3 linked regions of the Arabidopsis thaliana genome follow. The protein of the gene in region 1 interacts with the protein of each later gene in a pairwise test. Each region holds a gene or a part of one and is shown in the gene's direction. Other genes may lie near its edges. The genes, in order: SEC6, EXO70E2 and EXO70A1.

Evidence for each region.
Region 2: the proteins of SEC6 (region 1) and EXO70E2 interact in a protein complementation assay, tested with the Arabidopsis thaliana proteins (one study listed by BioGRID).
Region 3: the proteins of SEC6 (region 1) and EXO70A1 interact in binary tests that used the Arabidopsis thaliana proteins (3 or more experiments, as listed by UniProt).

Annotation. Positions count from the first base shown.
Region 1 is NC_003070.9:27,007,409-27,011,163, forward strand, and holds the start of SEC6 (SEC6), read left to right. Parts: upstream 1-2,155; 5' UTR 2,156-2,466; intron 2,467-2,561; 5' UTR 2,562-2,613; coding exon 2,614-2,742; intron 2,743-2,935; coding exon 2,936-2,974; intron 2,975-3,060; coding exon 3,061-3,149; intron 3,150-3,236; coding exon 3,237-3,327; intron 3,328-3,497; coding exon 3,498-3,587; intron 3,588-3,692; coding exon 3,693-3,755. Other genes in the region: AT1G71810 (Protein kinase superfamily protein), read right to left, coding at 67-111, 206-556. UniProt on the Arabidopsis thaliana protein: Component of the exocyst complex involved in the docking of exocytic vesicles with fusion sites on the plasma membrane during regulated or polarized secretion. Involved in polarized cell growth and organ morphogenesis.
Region 2 is NC_003076.8:24,551,775-24,555,529, forward strand, and holds the start of EXO70E2 (exocyst subunit exo70 family protein E2), read left to right. Parts: upstream 1-1,969; 5' UTR 1,970-2,837; coding exon 2,838-3,755. Other genes in the region: RPA70D (Replication factor-A protein 1-like protein), read right to left, coding at 14-241, 347-493, 740-867. UniProt on the Arabidopsis thaliana protein: Influences the subcellular localization patterns of other exocyst complex proteins (e.g. SEC5A, SEC15A, SEC15B and EXO84B) leading to their recruitment to exocyst, well-defined large punctate structures throughout the cytosol.
Region 3 is NC_003076.8:887,557-891,311, forward strand, and holds the start of EXO70A1 (exocyst subunit exo70 family protein A1), read left to right. Parts: upstream 1-2,009; 5' UTR 2,010-2,049; coding exon 2,050-2,208; intron 2,209-2,331; coding exon 2,332-2,427; exon of another isoform or gene 2,428-2,547; coding exon 2,548-2,753; intron 2,754-2,960; coding exon 2,961-3,038; intron 3,039-3,133; coding exon 3,134-3,364; intron 3,365-3,755. UniProt on the Arabidopsis thaliana protein: Component of the exocyst complex involved in the docking of exocytic vesicles with fusion sites on the plasma membrane during regulated or polarized secretion. Involved in polarized cell growth and organ morphogenesis.

The DNA of each region.
Region 1 (3,755 bases):
ACTAGCATTGAGCAAATTGATGGACTGATGATGAAATCTCAAAGAACACGTGAGAGATAACCATACCGGACCTAGCTCCACAAGCAATTTCCTAAGCTCCGCTGCTCGTACCTAATGATACCAATTCGTGAAATCGAAAACGAAGCATGAGAACACAAAATCATCATTATCATTGAAGAGCAAATCACGAAATTGGAAAAAAGACCTTGAACATTTGATCAGAGCGTTCCAAAGCCTCATCAGCTAAGCGAAGCCCAAACCAATAACTAAACGTAGTTCCGATCTGAGCTAATCTACGAAGCAGAATCAGAGGTTTCTTCTTATACATCCCATCAATCCTGGGAAAATTGTACTCCGACAAAGAATCAGCCTCATCGGCACTGAGACTGAACAAATAACCGGATTTACTAGTGAAACTATCTACATCTCTAGACGCAGCGGAGACAACAACGGCGGAGTTTCCTCTTCGCGACGGCCAAGATGGTTGTGGATTAATCAGCAGATTGGGATTGGCGGGAAAAGAAACGATTGGCATAGAAGAAGGAAGCCGAAGCATCTCTTTCAAAATCTACAGAGTTATCTTCTTTTTCTTTTCTTCTTCGCCAATGGTTGTTGGTGAGATTTTGAATATCATGCAGTGGATTCTTCTAAGAAATGGCAAATAATATGGTTCTCTACTGTTTTATCTCTTTTTTGCCGGTCACATTCTTTATACTTTCTCTCTCTCTCGACATTTGCTGGGATTTTCTGTGTCACACAAATGGCACCAATCTTTTTGTACGTTTTTTAAGTATTTATATGTCATATAAATGTACTTTATTTAGCTACTAATCATATTTTTTGGTTAGTGACTAAAACTGTATCATTCCAAACTATTCATAATAATTACGTTTAAAACTTAAGAAAAACATATGAAAAAGTTTGTAGATTGTCTGTTTATTTATCTGTCCTTGGATGCTTCCTTTGAAGAAAAAGAAATTTAGTGTATATATAAAAGAGATAAAGAATATATCACATCCACATATTTGGTAATTGATATATAACTCTGTAGATCTTATTCCTTTTAGATACCAATGACTCTTCTTTTTATGTAAACCATCAAAATCTGAAACAAGCTGAATAATGAAATACACATATCTTAAAATATATTTTTACTAGTAGTAGTAATTAGTAAATATCATAATATCAGTTTGTGGAGTATTTTAGAAAGAATTCGAACATAATATATTTTCGATTTTTTCCTAAATGTAAACTTTCGAATTTTCTCTAGTATGTTCTTAATGAAAAAATGTAAACTTACCAAATGTTGCTGATATATTTACAAAAATGTAAAGTTAGTGTCGACGATACATGTATATAAATATAATCAGTACACGAAAAAAAAGGTTAAGAAAGATTAGAGATTGGTGGTGTGGTGAACAAGAAGATGGACATGTATCATTTGACAGAATACATCGGCGTGGTATCGGGCGTCCTTATGGTAGCTCTTGCTTCGTGCTTGTATGGCCATTACCTACGTCGCATGGTATGTCCATGTTGTGAACCTAGACTACCTAGTGACTCTAATGCCTAACTATTATCATTTTGCTACTGATTATATTTATATAAATGTATTGTCGAAAATTGTGCGTCCGTTTATCCTCTACGCTAAACGGACTCTAGATGAATAATTATTTGTTTCAAAATATTGTAACTCTATTCTATTGATATTTATGAGATTTTACAAATTTCTTTTCAAATAGTTTGTACTTGGAAGCTGTCATTTTCTTAGGCTTTGTTTTTCTTTTTCGTCGAGTTCAATATTCCATCCATCTCATCGATTTATTTCTTATATATTACATGTACTACGTTATGTGCAAAACTTTGATGATATCACAACTAATATATCACATCCAAGTTTTGCAAAGCATGTCGTCAAATTATAAACTTATCAAAACATATGCAACCCCATTAATATCAAACGTATGTAACATCGCTAGATAACCAATCAGACCCCTACGACTAATATTTTCGAATTCGATACGTTATGGTAAGATTTAAAATCGATGATATTTTAGTGACATTTCAAATGATTAAACATATAACAAAAAATAAAAAATAACACGAACCCGAGCATGGGGTTAAGATTTGCGTTTTGCTCAACGAATTAGCGTTAGCGTTTGCAAAAAAAAAAAAAAAAAAAATAGGTTTGCATCAACAGCTGGCAAAAAAGAAAAAGAAAAATCAAAACCGGCGAGACGGAAAATTTCAGCGTTTCCGAACTTTCCATTAGAGTCGCGAGACGATAGATGAGACTCGTTCCAGAAATTTAATCGTTGCTTCTCTTCCCAGCTGATCTGCGTCCAACATCACTGTTTCCAGGATCTTCAGAATCAGCGAAGGAAGAAGATAAGAGGACGACGAAGTAATTGAAGTTGGAGAATCGCACATTTGGCTCTCGATATTTGCTCAATGACTTCTTATTCGGTTGCGTCCATTTTTCCTCTACGTTTCTGTTTCCAGATCTCTTGATTCTCCTCTGCGTTATCGTAATTGTGCTGGAATTTTGAATAACTTTGCAGAGGTAGCCTTCAATTTAGGATCGGAGTTCGTAAATAAGGTGATTTAGCGAAGATGATGGTCGAAGATCTTGGTGTGGAAGCGAAGGAAGCGGCTGTGCGAGAAGTGGCGAAGCTCTTACCCTTACCTGAACTTTTGCAGTCTATTTCTTCAATCAAGGCCGATTACATCGCTCGTCAACAGGTTTGACATCTTGCTTTTGAATTGCAATTGGAACTGAATTGGCTTTTGAAGTATCATTTGCACTGAGTATTAGTGATTCCTGAGCAATGCTAGATTTGAGTTGTTAGGTTTTGATATGCTATTGTTATCTTTTATTTTCGATTTTCTGGAAATTTTTAATGACCTGACTAGTGATGCTTGCTGTTTCAATCAGGCAAATGATGCACAGCTCAGTACTATGGTTGCTGAGCAGGTACAGCTTTAATCTGGCCTTCTTTGTACTTTAATGTATTTCGACTTTTTTGTTGTTCTTAAGTAATAGCTGTTGACAAACTTCAGGTTGAACAAGCTCAAGCTGGGTTAGAGTCACTTTCATCATCTGAGAAAACCATTTATGAACTGCGGGATAATTTCATTTCTATCGACAAGTATGTTTTTGCTTGACTAGAGATTCTTGAAGCTGAGTTACCAACTTTTGCATTTCTCTCCCTCTAACTTCTCTTCTTGTGCCACAGGCTTTGTCAGGAATGTCAAACTTTGATTGACAATCATGACCAAATAAAGCTGCTGAGTAACGCCAGGAATAATCTAAACAAAACTCTAAAGGTAGATATGCCGATGAGCACTGATTGTATTGCTTACAGTATTTGGTTCAGTGTTGTCCTTCTAACTTATTCTTGAACGCAAATATATATAGCTCTGCATGGTCGTCTCAGATGTTTAAATGCTTTCCAAGTTTTTGTCAACTTATTTTTACCTCATTCTCTTTTTTCAAGGATGTAGAAGGTATGATGTCAATTTCTGTTGAAGCTGCTGCGGCTAGGGATTCTTTGAGTGATGATAAAGAAATCGTTAACACTTATGAGGTAGCATGAGTTCCTCTTCCCATGGATTCCAGGCATTTCTGACTGCATCACTTTGAAAAAAAGAACGTTTGGTGTAAGACATAATATTCTGTTTTTCTTCCATAGAGATTAACAGCACTTGATGGTAAACGAAGATTTGCATTAGCAGCTGCTGGAGAGGAGGTTGGG
Region 2 (3,755 bases), on another chromosome or scaffold:
ATAATTTGCTTACTTTCCCCTTTGTTCACTCATTATCTGAGAAGCTGATTTGGCTACAAATTCCTGCTTCGGTTTCAATGTGATACCAGTAGAAACAACATCATTCAGAGGACTGACAGGAGAATGCTCTAGTTTCTGCTTCTTGGGCTCACGAGCCTCCTCCTCTCCGCTCTTACTGTCCAAGTTAATCTCAGAATCAAGCACAGAACCAACAGCCTCACATTTAGTCACAAGGAAATATCTGACACAGAGACAATAGAGAAACACACATGTTAGTAACTGTTGATTTCAAGAATCGAACCAGAGTGATTATCCATGTAAAGAAGAAGCAAAAGAGAAGTCTTACTTTGTAGATTTGCTTGAAATGTCGTTAACAGTGAAATCAATGAGACGAATTAGACCCAAGTTCTGGATCTTCCCAGAAATGATTTCAGGTGTGAGTGAAGCAGTAAACATTGCTTTGACTTTCGTCTTTCCGTCATTTGCACTAAATCTGTCAACCAAAATCAAAACAGATCCATCAGAACAAAATCGGTAACTAAAACCCAAAACTAGGCAATATACAAACTATTATCAACAAACCCAGATCTCTTCTATCATAGAGTCATCAAAGTCGTTGCATATCATAATCTAGCTATACAATTGTGATTGAGAGAATATAACACTGACCTAAAGCTGGAACAAGCGAGATTTAAGAAATCAAGTAAAACCCAGATCATGAAAAGCCAAGGAAACTTACGTATAGCGATTGCCGATAGGTTTAAGATCCACAACTTGAACAACGATCTCAGATCGATCGGAAGACGAATCAAAGGATGGGTTTGACAAAACGGTGGAGATGGCATCTGGGGTCACCGAAGTCTGCATCTTTCTCTCTAGATATTGAAAAATGAAACGTTTGGTTTCTCTTTAATCAGAATGGTGAAAACTAAAAGCCGTGAGATAGTGAGAAGAATGAGAGAGAGGTACGAGGGTTTTTGTAAAGGAGAGAGCTTTAAGCGGGAGCTATTAAATTCGATTAATTGTTCCCCCGCCGATTTCAATTTCTATTTTTTTGGCAAAAAACTCTTACCGCTTCTTTTCAGTATCTTTCCATTTTTTTGGCGCATTTTGTTTTGTTTGATAATGGACTTTGTATGCGAAAGAAACTGTGTTACAAAAGCCTTTCACTTCAGGCCCATAGTTTATGGTTTTGTTTTTATGTGTGGGTCTTGAATCCACCGTATCACACGTTATGATTCATAAATATCTAAAATTTATTTCCAACAAATACAATTTTTTTGTTTCTTAAAGAACACATACGATATTATTATTTCAGAAAAAGATTAAATACAAAATCCCCAGGATCAAAATCAAACACCAATTCCAGATTAAACAATATCAACAATCTTTAATGTTTTTGACTTTTTTTTTTCTCTGAATGTTTTTGACAATTGAAAAAAATAATTCTACGCATTGCGTGAGGCAAACATTTAAAATTTTAATTTATATAAAGAGAAAATTTATACTTCTTGACTTGGGAAAAAAAAACTTGCTGAGGTCCTTACTTGATATGAGCTGTCAACTACTAGTGTGAGCCGTACAAATATAATCGGACGGTTCAGATCAATACATTGCGAGCCAGTCAAACTTCAAGTATTGACTAATCAACATCAACGTTTATTACACTAATTTATTATTGTACCCCTTATTTTCCAAAAACATAATACTTTTATCCCTATTGTATCCAATAGCTCTAAAAAAATCCACCATAAAATGTGTTTAATGAAATTCGATTATCTCTGACGACAACATTATCAAAAATCAAGACAAGAGATAGAACATAAAATGTTCAAATTCGTAAAAGTAATTGAAACAAATTAAATTCATTTCGAAGTTTATTAATTACATTTTGACCCCCAAATTTAAGTTAATTAGACTTACCATCCCCATGGTTTTCGTCCCGCCATATGGGGAAGTCAATGGACGAATCAATCTCAATTAGATTCGGGGCGGCCCAAAAATTTATCATTTTCTAAACCTTTCGTAATCTACGAAATTACGGGATCGCCTTCGTTGGAATACTAATTCCATTTTTCAACTTTGTTTTTATAAATACAGTTTACGTGCACCACAACTTTTCTTCTTTCCCTTCTTCTTCCCCAATAATCTCGCTGAAACTCTCTTGCTCTTGCTTCTAAAAATCTGTTCTTTGAGACTTTGATCACACAGTTATCAAAATCATAATCTCTTCTTTCCTGGTTTTTTTTTTTTTCTTCTTCTTCTTCCCGTTTCACGGTACGTTTACTCTGTTCGATCACCGAGTGTATGATAAAATGTTTCTGTGAAATCAAATAACATATCACTTTCTAATAAACATCAAAATTTCTCCTTTTTTACAGAAACAAGAAGTTTTTTTGGGAAAGCCGTTGACTTGACTTTTTCTTTGGGGTGTTGTGTGGGAGCTTATAGTATGGTACCATAAGTGGGAGCTTATAGTTTGGGGTGTTGTGTGGGAGCTTATAGTATGAGGAAAAATGTTAGATTTGAAGAATGCTTCACTGATTTTTTACCATAAGTATGTCAACTGGATTAAGCTTAAGTAGTAATGGTTTTTACTATGTTCATGTGGGGATTTCTCTTCCTCTCTGTTTACTTCATTCCGAGATGACTTGAGATTTTTTCAAAGTATAGTTCTTGGAGTTAAGCTTACCTAGTAATCACTTTATATAACATCCCTTCGTTTACATTTGTGCTTTCACCTGGAAACACTTTAGACTTTTCTCTCTTCTGCCGTGTGTATTTAGTTGTCTAGTCAAATTTAAGTTGAGTTTAGGCTCTAGTCTTTGGTTTTGGTTATGGCAGAGTTTGATTCCAAGGTTCCTGTTTCCGGAATGAACAATCATGTCTTTGAGGCATGTCACCATGTTGTTAAGGCACTGAGGGCATCTGATAACAACCTGGATGCCAATTTGAGAAAGCTCCTAAGTGACCTAGAGATGCATTTGTCAACATTTGGGATTGCTGATACCAAAGTTGAAGATGCAGGATTCTCTGAGATCAAGAAGAGATTCAAAGAAGCTGTGAAGAGAATCCGCAGTTGGGAGACAAACCAGTCGACGATGTTTGAAGCTGGTCTGTCTGAAGCTGATCAGTTCTTTCAAGCCCTGTATGACGTTCAAACAGTTCTTGTGGGTTTCAAAGCTTTGCCCATGAAAACTAACCAGATGGAGAAAGATGTTTACAACCAAGCTACGGTTGCTCTTGACATCGCGATGTTGAGGCTTGAGAAAGAGCTCTGTGATGTTCTGCATCAGCACAAACGGCATGTACAGCCTGATTACTTGGCTGTTAGTTCCCGTAGAAAAGATATTGTGTACGACGAGTCCTTTGTCTCCCTAGATGATGAAGTTATTGTCGAAGCTTCTTCACATGAAGATGATGAACAGATATCGGACTTTTATAATTCTGATTTGGTTGATCCCATCGTACTTCCTCACATCAAAGCTATTGCAAACGCCATGTTTGCTTGCGAGTATGATCAACCATTCTGTGAAGCTTTCATCGGCGTTCAAAGAGAAGCTCTGGAGGAGTATATGGTTACTCTCGAAATGGAAAGATTCAGCTGCGTTGATGTTCTCAGAATGGACTGGGAGGATTTGAATGGTGCAATGAGAAAATGGACAAAGGTTGTTAAGATCATTACTCAGGTCTATCTCGCCAGTGAAAAACAGCTATGTGATCAGATTTTGGGAGACTTTGAGTCAATTTCTACA
Region 3 (3,755 bases), on another chromosome or scaffold:
TGTGTAGCGTTTTGGAATCGCGGCTGCGGTTGCCATATCTATTAACCACTGCGGTTGGAGACTAACCGTTTTCGTGGGCTACCAATTGAAACGATTTGATTTTGTCAGTTAGTTTGTTAAAGCGTTTTAAATTAGCGATTGTAAAAAGGGAATGAGCATTATTTTTGGACAGACTAATTTAAACAGTCTAAAAAATTAGACGATTCATTGAACCGCTTAGAAAAAGTGGTTGGAATTCATTATTATTTTTAAATTTTAATGTGTCTATACTTTCATGAATTTTGTTTTTTATATCTATAAAACAATTTATGATATGTCACTAGCTTACTATACATATTTTTTTAGTCATTAACATCATTTCTCATTGCTTTAGGCTATATTGTATTCTCTACAATATAAATTGAAATAAGGAAAAAAAAAACTTACAATGACTAAATTTTAGTCACCAATGGAACTAATTATTTTGTAAGAAGGTTGAAAACTACTTTTTTTTTTTTCTAGAAGAGTCGGCGAACAGTGATGGTTAAATGAATTATGGGAGCCATGTTTGGCCTTCGTCTGCTGTCAGCCAAGCCCCTGCGAAACCCCACCCCTGGCCTGTGCAAAAGTTTACGCGCGCATTCTGAGAACGTGCTTTCCACGCTCCGATTAAGACGTCACTAAGAGTCAAAGCACTTTGATTTTCTCTTCTTTTCTCACAAAACACTTTCTTTTTTTATATACAGTATGATTTTTTTTTTTGTCGTCATTTTTTTTTATTTATTTATTTAATATGCCTCTTATGGTAAAACATATTTCAAGAAGGTTTATGTTTCTATAAACTAAAAGTTATCAACGGCAGATGAATAAATATGGAACTAATTTTCTCTCTAAATATCCAAAAATATGAGAATGTTGTCCATGGTTTTGGGAACAGAATGAGTGACGGAAAAGCCATGAAAAGAAAAGGTATCTTAGGAATATCATCTTCCTTTTGCTCGCCTAACCTTTTTTTATTGTTCTTCTCTTTTTGAATTTAAAATATTTTTCTGCTCTCTAGTAAACATTTAAACCATCGTAATAAATTGAGAATAAAGTGTGTGTATGTTTGTGTGTGTGAATGTTCGGTGTGATTTCAATTTATTGGAGGATAGAACTGTTGTGTCGAAATTGACACACCAAGGTGCCAAGTTGAGTACAAAATAAAGATCCTCTAGAGGCTACATCTTCGTCTAACAATCCTCATAAGTCTTCTTCTTCTTCTTTTTTTTTTAGTTTTCAACACACTAATGTCAAGTGTTTTGTTCATTTCTTTTTAGTTATAATATGTCTCTTGAGAAAATGTTGATATTTAGTTTGTTGTTGAGCCATTTATTTTCTGAGACAAATTTGGTCGTTAATGGATAATATTCTTAGAGATAGATCTACAGTACTGTGACTTTTGTGTAAAAACAAATTTGTAGCCGTATTTAATGGGCTATTTCGTATTTGGACAATAGCCTTTTATTTTGTGGGCCATGATATGTCAACACTGCTCAATGCTTATAAATGTTGTCGACATTTAACGAACGATATAACACCAAAAACTTCGAGTTTGTAAAGAAAAATTATGAGAGGATTACATTATGGTTAGCATATCTGACTATAATAAATTGAAAAATTACATTACTGGTTGATGGAAAGACAAATTTTTATTGAAGTGTACTTATTTCTTTAATTTTATTGGAATATAATATTCGATATGTGTTATTATGGTTAGCGTCTGCATATATTAATTTACGATTACATTATTGGTTAATGGAAATACAAAATTTTATTGAACCTTAATTATTTCTATAATTCTGTTATAAAAATATTTAAAACAGAGGTCAATATTTTTAAGAGAATGTTCAACAATCTGGTTAAGTAAGGGGAAAGAAAAAGCTTAGCTGGCTTTGAACCGGCTCGGCATTCCTCTGTCACCCACCAAACCAAACCGAGTCATCCTTCGTCGTCTCTCTTTCTTTTTCTTCAACTTCCATTTTTCGAAAGGCGACGAGAAAAAGTATTTCTCCAGTTTTGGAATTCGCCATGGCTGTTGATAGCAGAATGGATCTGCTAAGCGAAAGAGCTGTGTTGATGAGAGCATCTCTTCAAAAGAGTCAAACCATCACCGATAATGTTGTTTCTATCCTCGGCTCCTTCGATAGTCGTCTGTCTGCTCTTGAAACCGCCATGCGTCCTACTCAGGTGTGGTTTAGAGTGCTCCGATCATCTTCTCTGATTGTTTTCTAATCCAGATCTGGTATTATAGCTCTATGGAGTTTTGCTGACTTGATCGGATTTTGGTTTGACTGTGTTTTGAAATCTCAGATTAGGACTCATGCTATAAGGAAAGCTCATGAGAATATTGATAGGACTCTTAAGGCTGCTGAAGTTATTTTGTCTCAATTCGATCTCCTCCGTCAGGTTTGTTTTACAAATCTTGCTTCTGATTTTACTAACATGGATCGGTATAAATAGATAGAATTGATAATGATCTACATTGAGAATAGATAGTCTTTGATTATGCTCTCAATTCAATTCTAGGCAGAGACTAAAGTACTCAAGGGGCCACATGAGGACCTGGAAAGTTATCTGGATGCAATTGCTCAACTCAGAAAGATTATTCGTTATTTTATGAGCAACAAAAGCTTTAAGAGTAGTGATGGAGTTCTCAACCACGCAAATAGTTTGCTTGCTAAAGCACAGTCAAAGCTGGAGGAAGAGTTTAAGCAGTTGCTAGCTTCTTACAGGTTTGTGCTTCTGCGCCTGATAAGAGTTTAAGAAGCTACATGATTTCAAACTTGATGCTCTTGCTATAACTATGACTCATACCTTGTAACTTCAGGGAACAAAGCTATTGTGGATTTTTAGCTACTTTTTCTAGTTAGTATTTTTTTGGGAACTGGTCTTCGCTCTATGATGGTCTTACTTCTTTAGTTATCTTTCAAATAACCTAGAATACTTAGAATGACCTTTTATCTAAATTATCGGAGTTGTCACCTGACAAAGATTTTTTTTTGTGAAATCAAACACTTGTCAATATACAAGTTTCCTATGATACGAGTGTTCCAGACAACTGGTTTTAGATGGAAGAATGCTAAGGCCAACTCTTTTTTTTTGTTATAATCAGTAAAGCGGTGGAGCCTGATCGCCTATTTGATGGCCTTCCCAACTCACTGAGACCATCCTCAGACGGGGATGGAGGTGGAAAACCCCACGGAGGACATCACAATGATGACGCGGAAACTGCTGCTTATACACTTCCAATCCTCATTCCGTCACGGGTGTTGCCACTTTTGCATGACTTGGCACAGCAAATGGTTCAGGCTGGTCACCAACAACAGTTGCTACAAATTTATAGGTGAACTATTGATTCTTGGTCATTCATCCTGTATGTCGTACAGTTCATTTTCAAATCAGGCTCTTAGCTTAAATTTTCAACTAATAATTGTAGCATGAGTCAAAGTACTGAGTCAAGGTATAGTTTCTTTGAACGATTGCGGGTATACAATTAACTTACATATAATTCTCACCAGTCACCGCTCATTTACAAAGTAGTTTTTCCATGGTTTCTGCAAGTTGTGAGTTTATATTTGACTATCCTTCTGCTGTTTCACTAGTAAAGCTAAAGAGAAATGTTTTTGAAATATGAATTTCTATTGACACTCATCAAATAGTTTGGCTGTGATGTGCACATCGTGTACTCCGCTGTTTGTGCTTACCTGATCTGAAAACATTATTGCTAGATGCAA